2 linked regions of the Stegostoma tigrinum genome follow. Each later gene encodes a partner of the first gene's protein in a complex. Links are inferred from orthologs where the notes say so. Each region holds a gene or a part of one and is shown on either strand. Other genes may lie near its edges.

What was found. Proteins that work in one complex are often made in the same cells at the same time.
Region 2: the proteins of nrp1a (region 1) and plxna4 are in contact, whole or in part, in a cryo-EM structure (PDB 7M0R), measured with the Mus musculus proteins. The link is inferred for Stegostoma tigrinum from reciprocal best matches to the Homo sapiens genes NRP1 and PLXNA4. Residues at the interface, in NP_032763.2 of Mus musculus: Arg80, Tyr84, Asp126, Tyr127, Glu128; in NP_786926.2 of Mus musculus: Glu272, Lys340, Lys343, Lys345, Leu349.

The regions. Positions count from the first base shown.
Region 1 is NC_081355.1:129,163,144-129,170,457, forward strand, and holds the start of nrp1a (neuropilin-1a), read right to left. Parts: upstream 3,058-7,314; 5' UTR 1,996-3,057; coding exon 1,926-1,995; intron 1-1,925. UniProt on the Homo sapiens protein: Cell-surface receptor involved in the development of the cardiovascular system, in angiogenesis, in the formation of certain neuronal circuits and in organogenesis outside the nervous system. Mediates the chemorepulsant activity of semaphorins.
Region 2 is NC_081378.1:14,224,883-14,232,025, forward strand, and holds the start of plxna4 (plexin-A4), read right to left. Parts: upstream 3,018-7,143; 5' UTR 2,889-3,017; intron 2,586-2,888; exon of another isoform or gene 2,513-2,585; intron 2,256-2,512; exon of another isoform or gene 2,100-2,255; intron 1,665-2,099; exon of another isoform or gene 1,474-1,664; intron 1,182-1,473; exon of another isoform or gene 864-1,181; intron 1-863. UniProt on the Homo sapiens protein: Coreceptor for SEMA3A. Necessary for signaling by class 3 semaphorins and subsequent remodeling of the cytoskeleton. Plays a role in axon guidance in the developing nervous system. Class 3 semaphorins bind to a complex composed of a neuropilin and a plexin.

The DNA of each region.
Region 1 (7,314 bases):
CACATACCCATACACAGATAGATACACACATGCACACATACACACACCCACACTGACATACATACACATAAACACAGACCCACACAGACTGATAGACACACACATACCCATACACATCCACAGATATATACACATGCGCACACAGACACACACACACATATAGGCACACAGACGCGGACAGACACAAACCCAACCTACAGCCATACATACACACACCTACATAAACATATACACACCACGCTCACACATGGTGACACACTCACCCACACACAAACACAGCCCACACATACACATCGATTGGTGGGAGTCGGACAATGGGAGATTCCACCCTCTTCTCACTCGTCTTCAATCTCAAGGTGGGTGTAGAGGGGATTCACTAAAGGAACAGAGAGCTGGCCCGGGAGAAGTGGACATGAAATTCCTCCGGCATGGAGGAACAGTGCACAGATTGGTCAGCGTTCTGTTTGGAGAGTTCTCCCACTTGGAAAAGGGACCGAAAGACTGTGGTTTTAACATTCGCAACATCCCGTGCACGGCGCTAAACATTCCGCAGTCAAAGTTTGTTCTGAACAACACCGGGTTAGTCATGTCGTGGCATCACTTCAACTCCAGCCCGCTGTAGCTGGCTACCTGTCCTGCTCCCTCCCATCTCCACACTGACCCCCTCCCGTTTGACTGAGAAAGGACTGAGGCTTGTGGCCGGGCTACGCCGGGCTGCGGGAGAGAGCGGGAAGGAGGCGCAAAGCGGCTGGGGAAGCGCCGGGAGGGGGACGGGGAGATCCGCTTTGCTCGTTTATTGCTGCGGCCAGCAGGCTGTGTGTGTGTGTGTGTGTGTGTGAAAGAACCGCTTCGTGACCTGGTTCAGCGTGTCTGTGCAGATAAGAAGGAGCCGGGGTGTCTTCCTCATCTAGCTCACGGCTGTCAGTTCAGCCAAGATTCAAGCTGAAGAGGCGCCGGAGTGTAAGAGCTGGATATAAGATCTGACCCCTCACAGCTTTATTCAGCGACACACACATACACAAAGCAGCTCCAGAAATTCCCCCAAAAGCTCATTCTTATTTTCTGGACAAACATTAGTGCTCAAATCCTAACCTCTCCTGATCACTGCAGGGAGAGTTCGCGTTTATCTCGTCTTAAAAATAGCCTTAACATGCCGAGTCTCAGAACAGGAAGTGCTGGAGGAACGCAGGGAGCCAGAAATGAAATGTTCACCCCCTTTTGCAGCTCAGTGCAGCACACAGCAGTCAGTCGTCTCCAACACTTTTCTGGAGGTTTTGCTTTTGTTTTGTTACACGTTGTTCTGGTTTTCGTTTGGCCATCGCTCGCCTGGGCCCTGCCCGAAAAGAAACCGCTTTCCCGGCAACTGGTGGCAGCGTGAGGCGTGCTCCTGGGGAGGGAGTCACATGGACGGGAGCCCAGTGTGCCAGGCGCTGGGGAAAGCAGACCGAAAGATCTCAGTGAGCTCCCCTCTTAACTCGGGATGAGGGAGAGGACACTGACGGCGTGCTCACTGTCCGCGTCGCTCTCCCTGGGAAGGGGCAGTGTCTGAGAAAGTCACAACAGGTCTCAGAAAGTCATTCTTTGCCCCTAGTCCAGGCTCCTGCCTTCGACTGGGCAGCGTCGCCAGGCTGAGGGTACCTTCAGGTTCTGGCGTCTCCGGATAAACCTGCAAAATGCCACTTGCCTCCACACAGTCCCCCCGCCGCCCCCTCTCCCTGTGTGGGGAGACTTCAGCAGCCTGTTGTAAAACGAAACGAGGAGAAGCGAGCCCCTCCAGATCCTCGCAGTGTACGCTATACTGCGTGCGCCCTGCCGAGTGGACAGAGACCCTACCCATTTGCTGGTCTGTCCTCCCTTTAGTGGTTGTGGTATCGGGGCTCAGGGGGCCGAAACGACAGGGAAAAAGCGGCGCCGTTAATACTCACCGTTTCGGACCGCCCCGGACACACCGATGGCCACGGCCAGTAGGTAGAGGGAGAGTTGATGCTTCCCCATTTGGCAACTGGAGATTGCGAACGAAAACAGCGCGCACACACAGCGACAGGGAGAGAGAGAGAGAGAGGGAGGAAAGCCGAGAAGCGATAACAACAACGAAGGGCGCACTTGAGTTGAATTGGTTACTTTGGGAGAATCTGGGCGATCTGCAACCTCATCCTTTAGCTTCCTCTCGCCGCTTGCGGATACACGGTTCCTGTTGCAATGTCTGGCGTTGCCATTTCCTAAAAAAATCCCGAGCCAATAAAAGCTTTGCACAGACAACCCCCCCCCCCTTCCTTCCCTAACACACACACACACACACACACAGAGGGAGACTCCTCACTGCTGAGCAGATAGGAGAAGCAGCCAGCTGGGAGACAGAAATAAAAACTGTCTAGGAAATATTCTTAAAACAATTAAAAATGTCAAATCCACAAAGATCTGAAACTAGTTCGAGGCAGGAAAAAGAAGCGTTCACATGCTTATCTAATTATAAATGATGCAAGACTGGGTACTTAGCACCGCTAAAGGGAGAAATAAGACCAGCCAGACTTGTCCACACTCCTTCCCCACAGTCTCACAGTCCACCGCCTGAGACACCTCTATTAATGTATTCACAAAGGGAGAGGAAGATTGGCTGTCAGTATAATACAGCAGATCTACAAAGGGATACAGGGTGGGAGAGAGATACAGAAAGACACGGAGAGCTGGGAGATCAGCTCCAAGCCACGCCAAGTCACTGAAAACTCAAAGCGCCTCTCCTGGCCCAACTCAATTGCGAAATAGAAGTCAGACGCTACGGTTCCTTCAGCGGCATTTCTGTGACAGGCCAGCCAGCAAACAGAGAGAGAAAGGAACGCCCATGCTCCGGCAGGCGAACAAACTCTTTTTCAAAAATACTAATGATTTGGTCAATGAGTAAAGGGCGAAGCGCCTGCGGACTCCTCTCCACAGACACAAACAAACACACGCTTGCTCAGCGCCGCGCAACTGCTCCAGGTGATCAACACTTTCAGGGAGAAATACACTACACTGAAAAGGTCGGCAGACTCGGGCTGTTTTTCTTAAGGCAGTCTACGGAGGGAGGTCTGCCAAATGATTTGACTGCATGACTTGCAATTCCCTGTTATATGCAGCTGTAAAAAACAAAACGTTATTGTATTATGTGTCTCGTGAACACCATATACACACCATCAGCAAACACGCTTCACACGCACACAATAATAGTGTGCAAACTTCTCACACTAATACTCTGCACACTCAAGCACTGAATCACTGTGCAAACTTCTCACTGATACTCTGCACACTCAAACACTGAATTCCTGTGCAAACTTCTCACACTAATACTCTACACACTCAAGCACTGAATCACTGTGCAAACTTCACACTAATACTCTGCACACTCAAACACTGAATTCCTGTGCAAACTTCACACTAACACTGCACATTCACAGAATTCCTGTGCAAAATTTTCACACTAAGCTGTGCACACTCAAACACAGAATTCTTGTGCAAACTTTTTACACTAATTCTGTGCACATTCAAACACAAAATTCCTATGCAAATTTTTCACTAATTCTGTGCACATTCAAACACAGAATTCCAGTGCAAATGCTGTGTGCACGCTTCAGAAACGCCCTCATTTGATGCGCATAACAATTTTACCGTATACACTGAAACTGAATTTGTTTGGAGCAAAATCTCTGAAGCATTTGCTCTGGCTGGCAGCCTGTCATTGGTTCGGACGGAACTGTTTTACCTGCCCGGACTCAGGGAGACGAAACTCTTCCAGCTGAAGGGATGGGGCGAAAAGAACAGACATTTCTAAAAACAAAACTTCATTCACCCAGCTGGGAAGGCGAACCGGCTGCAGCAACAAGTGGCAGTCCCATCCCTCTTCGTGAAACTCCGGGCTTACATACCTACCTGAGGAGCAATTTTGTCGACAACAATAAAATGTGGCTGTAAAATAATTTCAAACGATTTCACATTCCCCAACATGCGAACCTGGCCAGATGCCGCGCCCACATATCCGAGCTTGTTGATGTGGGGATAAGGGAACCATCTCCCAAACGCGGCAGAACTTTCCGTACCGGCCAACAGGAGGCGCACGGCTTCAGCGCCAGATAATCTGAATCATGGGCGTCTCAGGCACGCATGTGGCTCACAGTCATTATGGTGGTCCCTCTCAGTCGTGCTCATTGTCAGACTGTCTTCCATGAACCATGTTTGGATGTATGTTGTCTGAAGGTGGGAAAAGTGCGCTACAAATGCCATTGACCATCCTTGATTGGCGAACTGTTCATTCTCAGCGCAGAAAGTTGTCATTGCCTCGGGCCATATTTAGTGGACATTTGTTAATTTCACACCTTGTCAATCATTTCTTGTCATCAAATGTCCAAAACGCATATTTTTTCACATCTTTTTATTTAAAACCACACAAATGCCTCCGGCATTTTCTCCCAGATCTTCCCTAGCACTCTTGCCGATCATACTGCTATGGAAACGGGCAAATTATTATGTCAGACATTTGGACATGGCGGAATCTTGTTGGAATACAGTTCCTCGAGCTGCTCCCAGGGTTTGGGATGGGTGACTGTTTGCCGAAGTGGTTCGGACCGTGTCACACCGAGAAAACAAAGATTCCTGCATAGTCGAAAGCTGAGCTTACTGTTCCCAGTTAAGGTAGCAGCAGAAGGAAGTGGGTACATTCGGCCTCGATATCTCTATCGTTGGCAGGACAAGATCAGTCAGAGCCTCCCGCTTTGGTCACTCTCTACCTATGCTTGCTGGAAAGCGTATACTTGCTGAGGTCCTACCTCGGCTATACATCCATCTTGTGGATGATACAGCTACACACCACAGGGCAGCTGAGGACAGGAGATGGGAGCACAGCGGTAACATCACATGACGAGCAACCTAATACCTAATCAAGCACTGTAGCGTCCACATCCCAGCATAGGAATTGGTGAAAATGTAAGATGATAACAGAGCAGGGAGGTTATGTAGGAGCCGTATAGGACTTTAAGATAATAAAATGTGAGGCTGGATGAACACAGCAGGCCCAGCAGCATCTCAGGAGCACAAAAGCTGACGTTTCAGGCCTCGACCCTTCATCAGAGAGGGGGATGGGGTGAGGGTTCTGGAATAAATAGGGAGAGAGGGGGAGGCGGACCGAAGATGGAGAGAAAAGAAGATAGGTGGAGAGGAGAGTATAGATGGGTAGGTAGTGAGGGGATAGGTCAGTCCAGGGAAGACGGACAGGTGAAGGAGGTGGGATGAGGTTAGTAGGTAGGAGATGGAGGTGCGACTTGGGGTGGGAGGAAGGGATGGGTGAGAGGAAGAACAGGTGAGGGAGGCAGAGACAGGCTGGACTGGTTTTGGGATGCAGTGGGTGGAGGGGAAGAGCTGGGCTGGTTGTGTGGTGCAGTGGGGGGAGGGGACGAGCGGGCTGGTTTTGGAATGCGGTGGGGGAAGGGGAGATTTTGAAGCTGGTGAAGTCCACATTGATACCATTGGGCTGCAGGGTTCCCAAGCAGAATATGAGTTGCTGTTCGGTGCAACCTTTGGGTAGCATCATTGTGGCACTGCAGGAGGCCCATGATGGACATGTCATCTAGAGAATGGGAGGGCGTGTGGAAATGGTTCGCGACTGGGAGGTGCAGTTGTATATTTCCGGAGAGACCACTCTCTCCGTGACTCCCTTGTTCGCTCCACACTGTCCTCCAACCCCACCACACCCGGCACCTTCCCCTGCAACCGCAGGAAATGCTACACTTGCCCCCACACCTCCTCCCTCACCCCTATCCCAGGCCCCAAGATGACTTTACACATTAAGCAGAGGTTCACCTGCACATCTGCCCATGTGGTATACTGTATCCATTGTACCCGGTGTGGCTTCCTCTACATTGGGGAAACCAAGCGGAGGCTTGGGGACCGCTTTGCAGAACACCTCCGCTCAGTTCGCAATAAACAACTGCACCTCCCAGTCACGAACCATTTCCACTCCCCCTCCCATTCTTTAGATGACGTGTCCATCATGGGCCTCTTGCAGTGCCACAATGATGCCACCCGAAGGTTGCAGGAACAGCAACTCATATTCCGCTAGGGAACCCTGCAGCCCAATGGTATCAATGTGGACTTCACCAGCTTCAAAATCTCCCCTTCCCCCACCGCATCCCAAAACCAGCCCAATTCGTCCCATCCCCCCACTGCACCACACAACCAGCCCAGCTCGTCCCCTCCACCCACTGCACCCCAAAATCAGTCTAGCCTGTCTCTGCCTCCCTAACTTGTTCTTCCTCTCACCCATCCCTTCCTCCCACCCCAAGCCGCACCTCCATTTCCTACCTACTAACCTCATCCCACCTCCTTGACCTGTCCGTCTTCCCTGGACTGACCTATCCCCTCCCTACCTCCCCACCTATACTGTCCTCTCTACCTGTCTTCTTTTCTCTCCATCTTCGGTCCGCCTCCCCCTCTTTCCCTATTTATTCCAGAACCCTCTCCCCATCCCCCTCTCTGATGAAGGGTCTAGGCCCGAAACGTCAGCTTTTGTGCTCCTGAGATGCTGCTTGGCCTGCTGTGTTCATCCAGCCTCACATTTTATTATCTTGGATTCTCCAGCATCTGCAGTTCCCATTATCACTGTATAGGACTTTAGCCAGGCCGTAGCTGGAGTAGTGAAGTAGATACACTAGGATGGAACAATTCAGCTTTGGAGAAAGGCTGGATTGCTTTTTTTGGAACAAAAGATATTGATGGGGAACCTGTTAGAGAACTATAGGGTTATGGGGGCATGGTCAGGGGACTAGACAGCAGATGTTCTCCTTAGTCGAAGGATCAATGACAAGAGCTTCATTTTAATGTGCAAGGCAGGAGGTTTCAAGAGCGGATTTGAGGAAAATCTATCTCACCCAGAGGGTGGTGAGAATCTGGAATACACTGCCGGCAGGCTCTTTGAGGTGGAAAACCTCACAATCTTTAAAAAGTATTTGAATGAACACTTGATCTGGCATAACATTCAAGGGTATGGGTTTTACATTTGTAAGCGAGACTAGTGTAGGTAGTAGTGTCTTTTTGGTGGTGCAGACCCAACGGGCCAAAGAGCCTGTTCTGTGCTGCATAATTCCATGACTCTACGAATGAGTTCTTGACTGAGCTTTGAGGATGTAAACAAGGCAAATAAAACCTGTCTTCACATGTCAGGATCTTCAAGAGGGAAGTCTTTGTTATTTGCTGTGGTCTTTGCTGGCAAAGCTGCCATTTAATGCCCACGCCTTGAGAAGACAGTGATGAACCTTCTTCTTGAAACACTGCAGGATTCCCAGGATTTTA
Region 2 (7,143 bases), on another chromosome or scaffold:
TTCTCATAGGCAACACTCTTTGGAATTCACTGATTATAAACAACACAAAAACATTTGTCCTTGCACTGGCCATCGTTGTAAGGCTCTCTCAAACTCCCAACCACTTCTGACTTTGCAGAAAGCTAAATTTAAGGTCAAGGGCAGGCTGTCCTCTCCAGTCAGTTCGGGATAGCAGCCAGGATCAGTACAAAAAGCTCGATGCCACTTCCTCACACTCCCAGTCAACTGTTGGAATTACCCGCATCCCTTCAAAAGCTTCGCGGGGGGGGGGGGGAGTGGGAAACTCCTCTTTTTACTCAAACCGTGTACCCGCTCCTTCCCCAATCTCACACTCAACGGCAAAACAGAGCACCGTCCAAACCGACCCGAACACACCCACTGACCATCCCTCTGGGTCCAGGTTATCTCCTTTGCAACAAAGGACACTGAGTTATACTGGTGTCATCAGTTACAATTTGAACAAAATTATCCCCTTTCAGTTCAGAGGAGCGTGGTTAATGCACCATTGTTTTAAAAAAAAGGGAAATTTAAACAAAGTTTGCATCCACCCCGACCGTACATCCAGTGTGCTGACCACCCAGCCAAACGTTACTTTATGGACGAGGGGGAAATCTGGTTCCTCAGGAGAGAACCACACAACAGATCACCCGAGCGTTATCAAAGGGGAATCTGCCCTCGTTATCAAAACAAAAGTTCACTGAAAGTCAGTTGTAAGATGCAAAGTTAGCGATGTATTAAAATAAGGTAGGGTTTGGAGTATATGATACTCCCATTACCACTAATCGTCCTAATTACCTCAACGTGGAAAATTGCCCTTTCATCTCGGTAATAGGACAGGTTTAACAGCAGATATTTGTCCTCACCCTCTGTTGCAATGTTATCTAGCAAAGAATCGAGTTTACTTTACGGCCATCGTGATGAAGGTAGTTTTGTAGAGAACAGCTCACACTGCCTTCTCCCAGAAACCGAGCCCGAGTTCTGCTACACGTGTGACAGCCACTACACTTCCTTCCACTGGATGGAAAGCTGTCACAGGTTTCTGAGAGGCGCGATGCAGCTCTAACCTTCAGCACGCGAGAAAGGAAAAGAAAATCGTTGCTAAACTCGGATGAATACCGGATTGGCTTTAACGAGGAGCGAGGAGTGTCTGGAAAATGCCCGATCCTCATGAAGGAGTTCAGGTAATTGTCAGACAGGGAGGGGAAGAGGGGAATGTACAAATCGATCTGATCATCTCTCTCTCACACACACACACACACAATCTCAATGACCACCCCTACATCAAACATACTGACGGACATATTGCACAAATGCTTGGCTAACGCTCCTTCATTCTTAAATAAATCCATGTATTCTTCACCCTATCCTTGGCAAACGGTTCCCTCTGCAGTGATTAACACGTTCACAGGCTCTTCCCGGTTTCCCCTTTTCCCATTTAACAGCACAACACTGGTCCAATTGAATAGCACTCACCTGCCTTATTCCCGCAATCGCTTTTCACCCCGTATCACCCACCTTGGTTACAATCACGATATTCCAACAAACGTGAAGTGGGAAGTGTTCAATGACCGGGTAACGGCGTCCACAGTCGAACTGTTCGGTGAACGGGGAGCCCACTGAAGTGAGCAGAAACGTGTCTGGGAAGGGACTTAGCGGGGGCTGTACCATCAGCATTCACAAACTGAACAGGGACAACCGATAACACAGCGCCGCTCGCCTCAGACAGCGTGCAAGCCCCTGGGGTGAACATACAAGTCCGCGAGTAGGAGAACACTCCCCCTCCCCAACAACAACCCCCCCCCTCCCCGCCTCACACTGGGTGTGTAAGTACACGCTGTAAACACATTGAGCAGGTGAAAGGGAACGTGGATAGCTACAATCCTTTTCCGCATAGGGTCCGTGCTCTTGCAAACCGCGGTTTTTTAGTTTTATTGGGAGGAGGATACGGGGTGGGGGGGGGGCGGGGTTGGTTAGAAAGCTTCCATTCCGCATTTTTACCCCCCCCCCCCTTCCTCCTCAAATATGCTTCCCCCAAGATTGATCTGAGCCGCCTCCAGGGTCTCTCTGCTGCGGCACGAGGGGCGGTCAGAGATTTGTACCTGTAACTAACCCGGGGAAATCCCACATCTTAGACAGAGTGAGATAAAACAGTCATCCAGGAGATAGACGGAGGCATGGAGCTCAGGTATCTGCAGCCAGGATACTGTCGCTTCAGGAAGCCTGCCGTAGCCCCCATGCACATGCACACACACACATACGTCGCGGCTCTTAAATATCGGGGGAAGTATGTGACAGTCAGTAGCCAATCTCCTGCAGTGGGAAGCTGAGAGTGTATTTGTGGATGGCAGAGAGAGAGAGAGAGAGGGAAAGCACACTGAGCCCACAATGCCACCTGCAGAAAGGTACTCGCAACAAACGGCTGACACCACACAAATACCTCATTCCTCACAACAAATACCTCTGTAACAGCAAGATTGAAGGGGGCGGGCAGGAGGAACCAAATATACCTTACCAAGAGACTACCGTCTGCATTGCTCACATCTCGGTGAATCCGACCGCGTTACATTTTCGGTGTGTGTGTGTGTTTTGTTTCAGAACTGACGGGGTGTGGGTTGTTTAATATTATTATTCCATTAGTTGCAAATGAGCTTGAAGCCGACACTATTGGAGAAGCCAAACTTCCTGTTACAGGGCTGTAACAGTTCACTCTGCGCTGGCTGCCTGGTTTGCTTTCGCAGACCGCCGCAGTGACACACACACACACACACACACACACACACACACACACACACTGCCAAGCCGCTGAGACATCGCTACTGAATGCAGGGCAACACTTCAGAAATATTCCGCTTCCCCCACACCCCCATAACAGAAACATTGAGAAAAACCTTTTCTTTTTGGTCTTCGCCTACTTAAAGCAGGTCCGAGTGAAGGCAGGAAACGAAGGGAGAGTGTCATCAGCTCTCTTGTAGCCTCCTCAGTGATCCACTCGGCAGTACCATTCTAACACTTGAACACTTCAGTGCATTTTGGAAGAGGTGGGGGAGAGGAGAGAGTGTAATCGAGGCTTCCCCCAGGGTCTCTGGCCAGGTAGCGGTTTCGCCCTTCAAACCACCCCCAAACCCGCCCCCCCTCCCGTACCCACTGCTCCGTCTGCCTGCCTTCCAGTAGCTGGAACAGCGGCAGCAACAGCAATGCCAGTGTAACGTAGGGAGCGGACCGTCTTTGGACTGGTGTTGCTGGCTCAGGGTCATGCACCGAAGATGGGCGGGGGGGTGGGGACAGCTGGGAATCAATTGCAGACTCCAACTTTGTGTAGAATATGTAAAAGCCCAGTGTACAAGTGTGGAACCTATTTGCATTTAGCCACTGCCAAGGGCGCAGTGAGCAAGTAGTGTTTACCTACTTTCAGTCTATCAATGCTGTTGTCACACGACAGTGACGTACCGTTCCCACTAGCTATTCTGCTAATTGTGCTATTTCCAACTCTGCTTCACAGTGGAAAAAAAGGTGATTTTTTTCAGAAATAGTATCTGCAATTATGAATTACCCAGTGACTAGCATTTGCACATCATAGCGCTCGCAATTCTTTGTTTAACAACGAATGACCCGAGACTGTGGGCTTTAAGATCCGGCGACTTCCTACATCGATTTTTTTCGAAATAAACTTTCTGGACCACTCACTCTTAATCCCGTTTCCCGTGAGAGAAAATCACCCATCACTGCACGATGGGCCGAAGGAGCTGTAAAGACCTAGGGCTTTATGAGGCCATCATGACTATCTCTTTAAAGAATCAACAACGAGATCCTCAAGGCATGCTATTACGTTCGATTTTTTTCTGGGAAGTTAACCCTTCTTCCAGGAAGAATAAAGCCATGGATTGAGACAGAACCAAAGGAAGACATTCGGCCCATTGTGCTATGCTGGCCGTTTGGAACTGTCCCAATGCCCGTCTCTCCATGCAAGAGAAAAAGCCTTTAGAGTATTAAATATGTGAGTCAAATTACTGATTGATGCTGATAAATCACAGACTACATATCTCAATATTAATGGGTACTGGCACACTTGAAGATACAGTTAGAAGGAGGGGGAAAGTCCCTGTTTTCAGGGCTGAGAGACGCCCAGTCCCAGTGATTCAGTGTTGATCTCCAACACCGCCGGTTCCGCTGTCCTTGCACGGTCACCAAACCGTTTGAGCTCTCAACTTAAGACAGCCCTACACATTGGGAGAAAGAGACGGGCGTCTTGGGCACTTGGAACAACTTGCGCGCGTGTCAACCTTCTGAGACTCCCCAAACTTTAAAACAGCGTTTCTTCCATCGCTAAATTCCACGTTCGCTCCCTGCCAACATGTTTTAAGGAACTCCCCCGGAAAAAAAATGCGTTGCGGAAAAACACGTGTGAGGAAACGCAGCGATTGCATTGGAGATAATGCAGCGTTTGTATGGAAGAACGCGACAGACTGTGTCTGTTTGTGAGAGGGGTAAAGGCTGTCTCGCTGAATTCCTGCATTGCAACGACACCTAGAGGCAATATGTAGCTTGCAACCTCAGCAGAAAAGGGTGCTCCTTTGGAGGGGGCCAAGGGAAATTCACTCATTCGTGTCTGTCACTTCCGAGCGACCTGTCGACACTGGGGAAAGGCTAACACAGAAATGGCTCGACCGATAAAAAAAAAGGGTCCAGCTCTCCAGCCCTGCTGAAGATAGCGGCCAACCCTCACAGCCAACGTAGTCATTCCTGACATCCTGCCCTTGCACCAGGCAGGGAAGGGTCTAATAGAGTTGAACCAGCAAAACATCACGGCGCAGGGTAAAGCGGACACATAACACATGTTGGGGAATGATATTTGATCCGCTCCTCGTGTTTAATTGACACCTGTGCACTATGAGGCCAATGAAAATCTTGAATAAAACGACAGCGTCACTTTTCAAAGAGGCGCAGCAACACAAAACGTTAGAGTATCAAATGCGAGCGTGCAACTCGAACTCGCTTTATCCCTGCAGACGTCTGTAAGCGTTCACAGAACGGAAAGACAAATATTTCCCAACACAGGACACTCGGCGAGCGTGGTAGAACTGCACTAGATTCGCCATTGTGACAGAATGAATTGAACGGGTTGTTGGAATCTGCATCAGCCAAACTTCACGCTTGTATCCCGGCATTCAGTCAAGTATTCATTTTCCACGTCGGGAATGAACAGTTGTTCCCTCCAAAGGTCCCTGGAGATCTGGATAATATCCAGGCTTGATTCCATGATCTGCTGAGTCTCACCAGCAATTTGTTTTTGTTCCGATATCCAGGCGCGAGCTGACGAGTGGCAAGTAACGTTTGCGCCTCACAAATGCCAGGCTATGACCATTTCCAACAGGACACAATCTAATCACTACCCCTTGACATTCTGTAGTGCTGTCATCACTGAATTCCCCACTACCAAAATCACAGAGGTTATCATTGAACAGAAACTCAGCTGGACTTGCCTCATAAACGCAGCAGCTACAAGTCCATCCGGCCTGAATAAAAATCCAGATCCGAAACGTTGACTTTCCTGCTCCTCCAATGCTGTCTGACCTGCTCTGTTTCTCCGGCTCCACACTTTATCAAGCTACAAGAGCAGGTCAGAGGCTAAAAATGCTGCAGTGAGTAACTCACCTCCTGACTTTCCCAAAACCTGATCACCAACTTATAAGGCAGAAATCAAGAGTGTGATGAAATATTCCCTACTTGCCTGGATGAGTGCAGCTCCAAAAACACTCAAGAAGTTTCACACTATCAAGAACACAGCAGTCTGCTTGATTAGCATCATAACCACAATCATCCACTCCCTCTACCACCAACATCAGTATTAGCAGCATGTACCATCTACAAGATGCACTGGAAGAAATTGACCAAAGATCCTTAGACAGCACTTTCCAAATCCAGAGATGATGGGAACTGCAGATGCTGGAGAATCCAAGATAACAAAGTGTGAAGCTGGATGAACACAGCAGGCCAAGCAGCATCTCAGGAGCACAGAAGCTGATGTTTCAGGCCAAGACCCTTCATCCTTTTTTACCCGGTTCTAGCAGTTTCAAGGCCGAAGAGATTACAAGAGAGTTGCAGTGGGAGAGAGATTCCCTGAGGTTGGTCCGGACGGAGGATGGTAACTTCTTCAGGTTAGGCATCCCTGGAAGAGGCTTCGCAGTGAGGTTAAAATTGTGATCAGAGGTAATAGGAACTGCAGATGCTGGAGAATCCAAGATAACAAAGTGTGGAGCTGGCTGAACACAGCAGGCCAAACAGCATCTCAGGAGCACAAAAGCTGACGTTTTGGGCCTAGACCCTTCATCCCAAATCCAAATCCAAATCCGGGTCTATTTCCACCTAGAAGGGCAAGGACAGCAGATACATGGGAACAGCACCATATGCAAGTTCCCCTCCAAGCCACACATCATTCTGACTTGGAAATATATTGCCGTTCCTTCAAAATATCTGGGTCAAAATCCTGAAATTCCCTCCCAAAGGGCATCATGGGTCTCCCTACAGCCAGCGACACCCACGACCAATGAATGAACAAAGAAAACACGTGGAAAACATTACCGGGGGAAAGTCCCGAGTTGGTTAAGAGTCAACTGTGTTCTGAACTGGAAGACACAGTTGACATGGATTAATAATATAACACTTTGAAGTTAGGTCATATTAGACTTGAAATTTACTTCTCTCTCCACAGATGCCACTATTTCTGCTGCAATTGCCTAGCACTTTCTGTTTTTAATTCAGATTTCCAGGTTCCACAGTATTTTTATTTTGTAATAATAATTTGGTTTGATTTATTTCTTTTGTATCTTTTGGGTTTTTGTTGTGTGTGCCCCATTAAAAGGGGGTTGCATTTTGAGAGCGAGTTGGGATTGAAGGATAGCATGAGAAGGTTGGAAAGTGATGTTGAGGTGTTAATTTGTCTTTTACATTTCCAGTTCTGACAAGCGTGTGTACATTTCCAGCATTTTCTGTTTGCAGTTCAGATTTTCAAGATTCACGGTTCTTTTTATCTCTGCTGTGCCACAGAATTAAACTAATTTATTATCCTCTCTGAGATGGTGCTGCTGACAAAATGGACCTATGACACAATGAGCGTTTAACTCAACATGGTGCCACATTACTTTC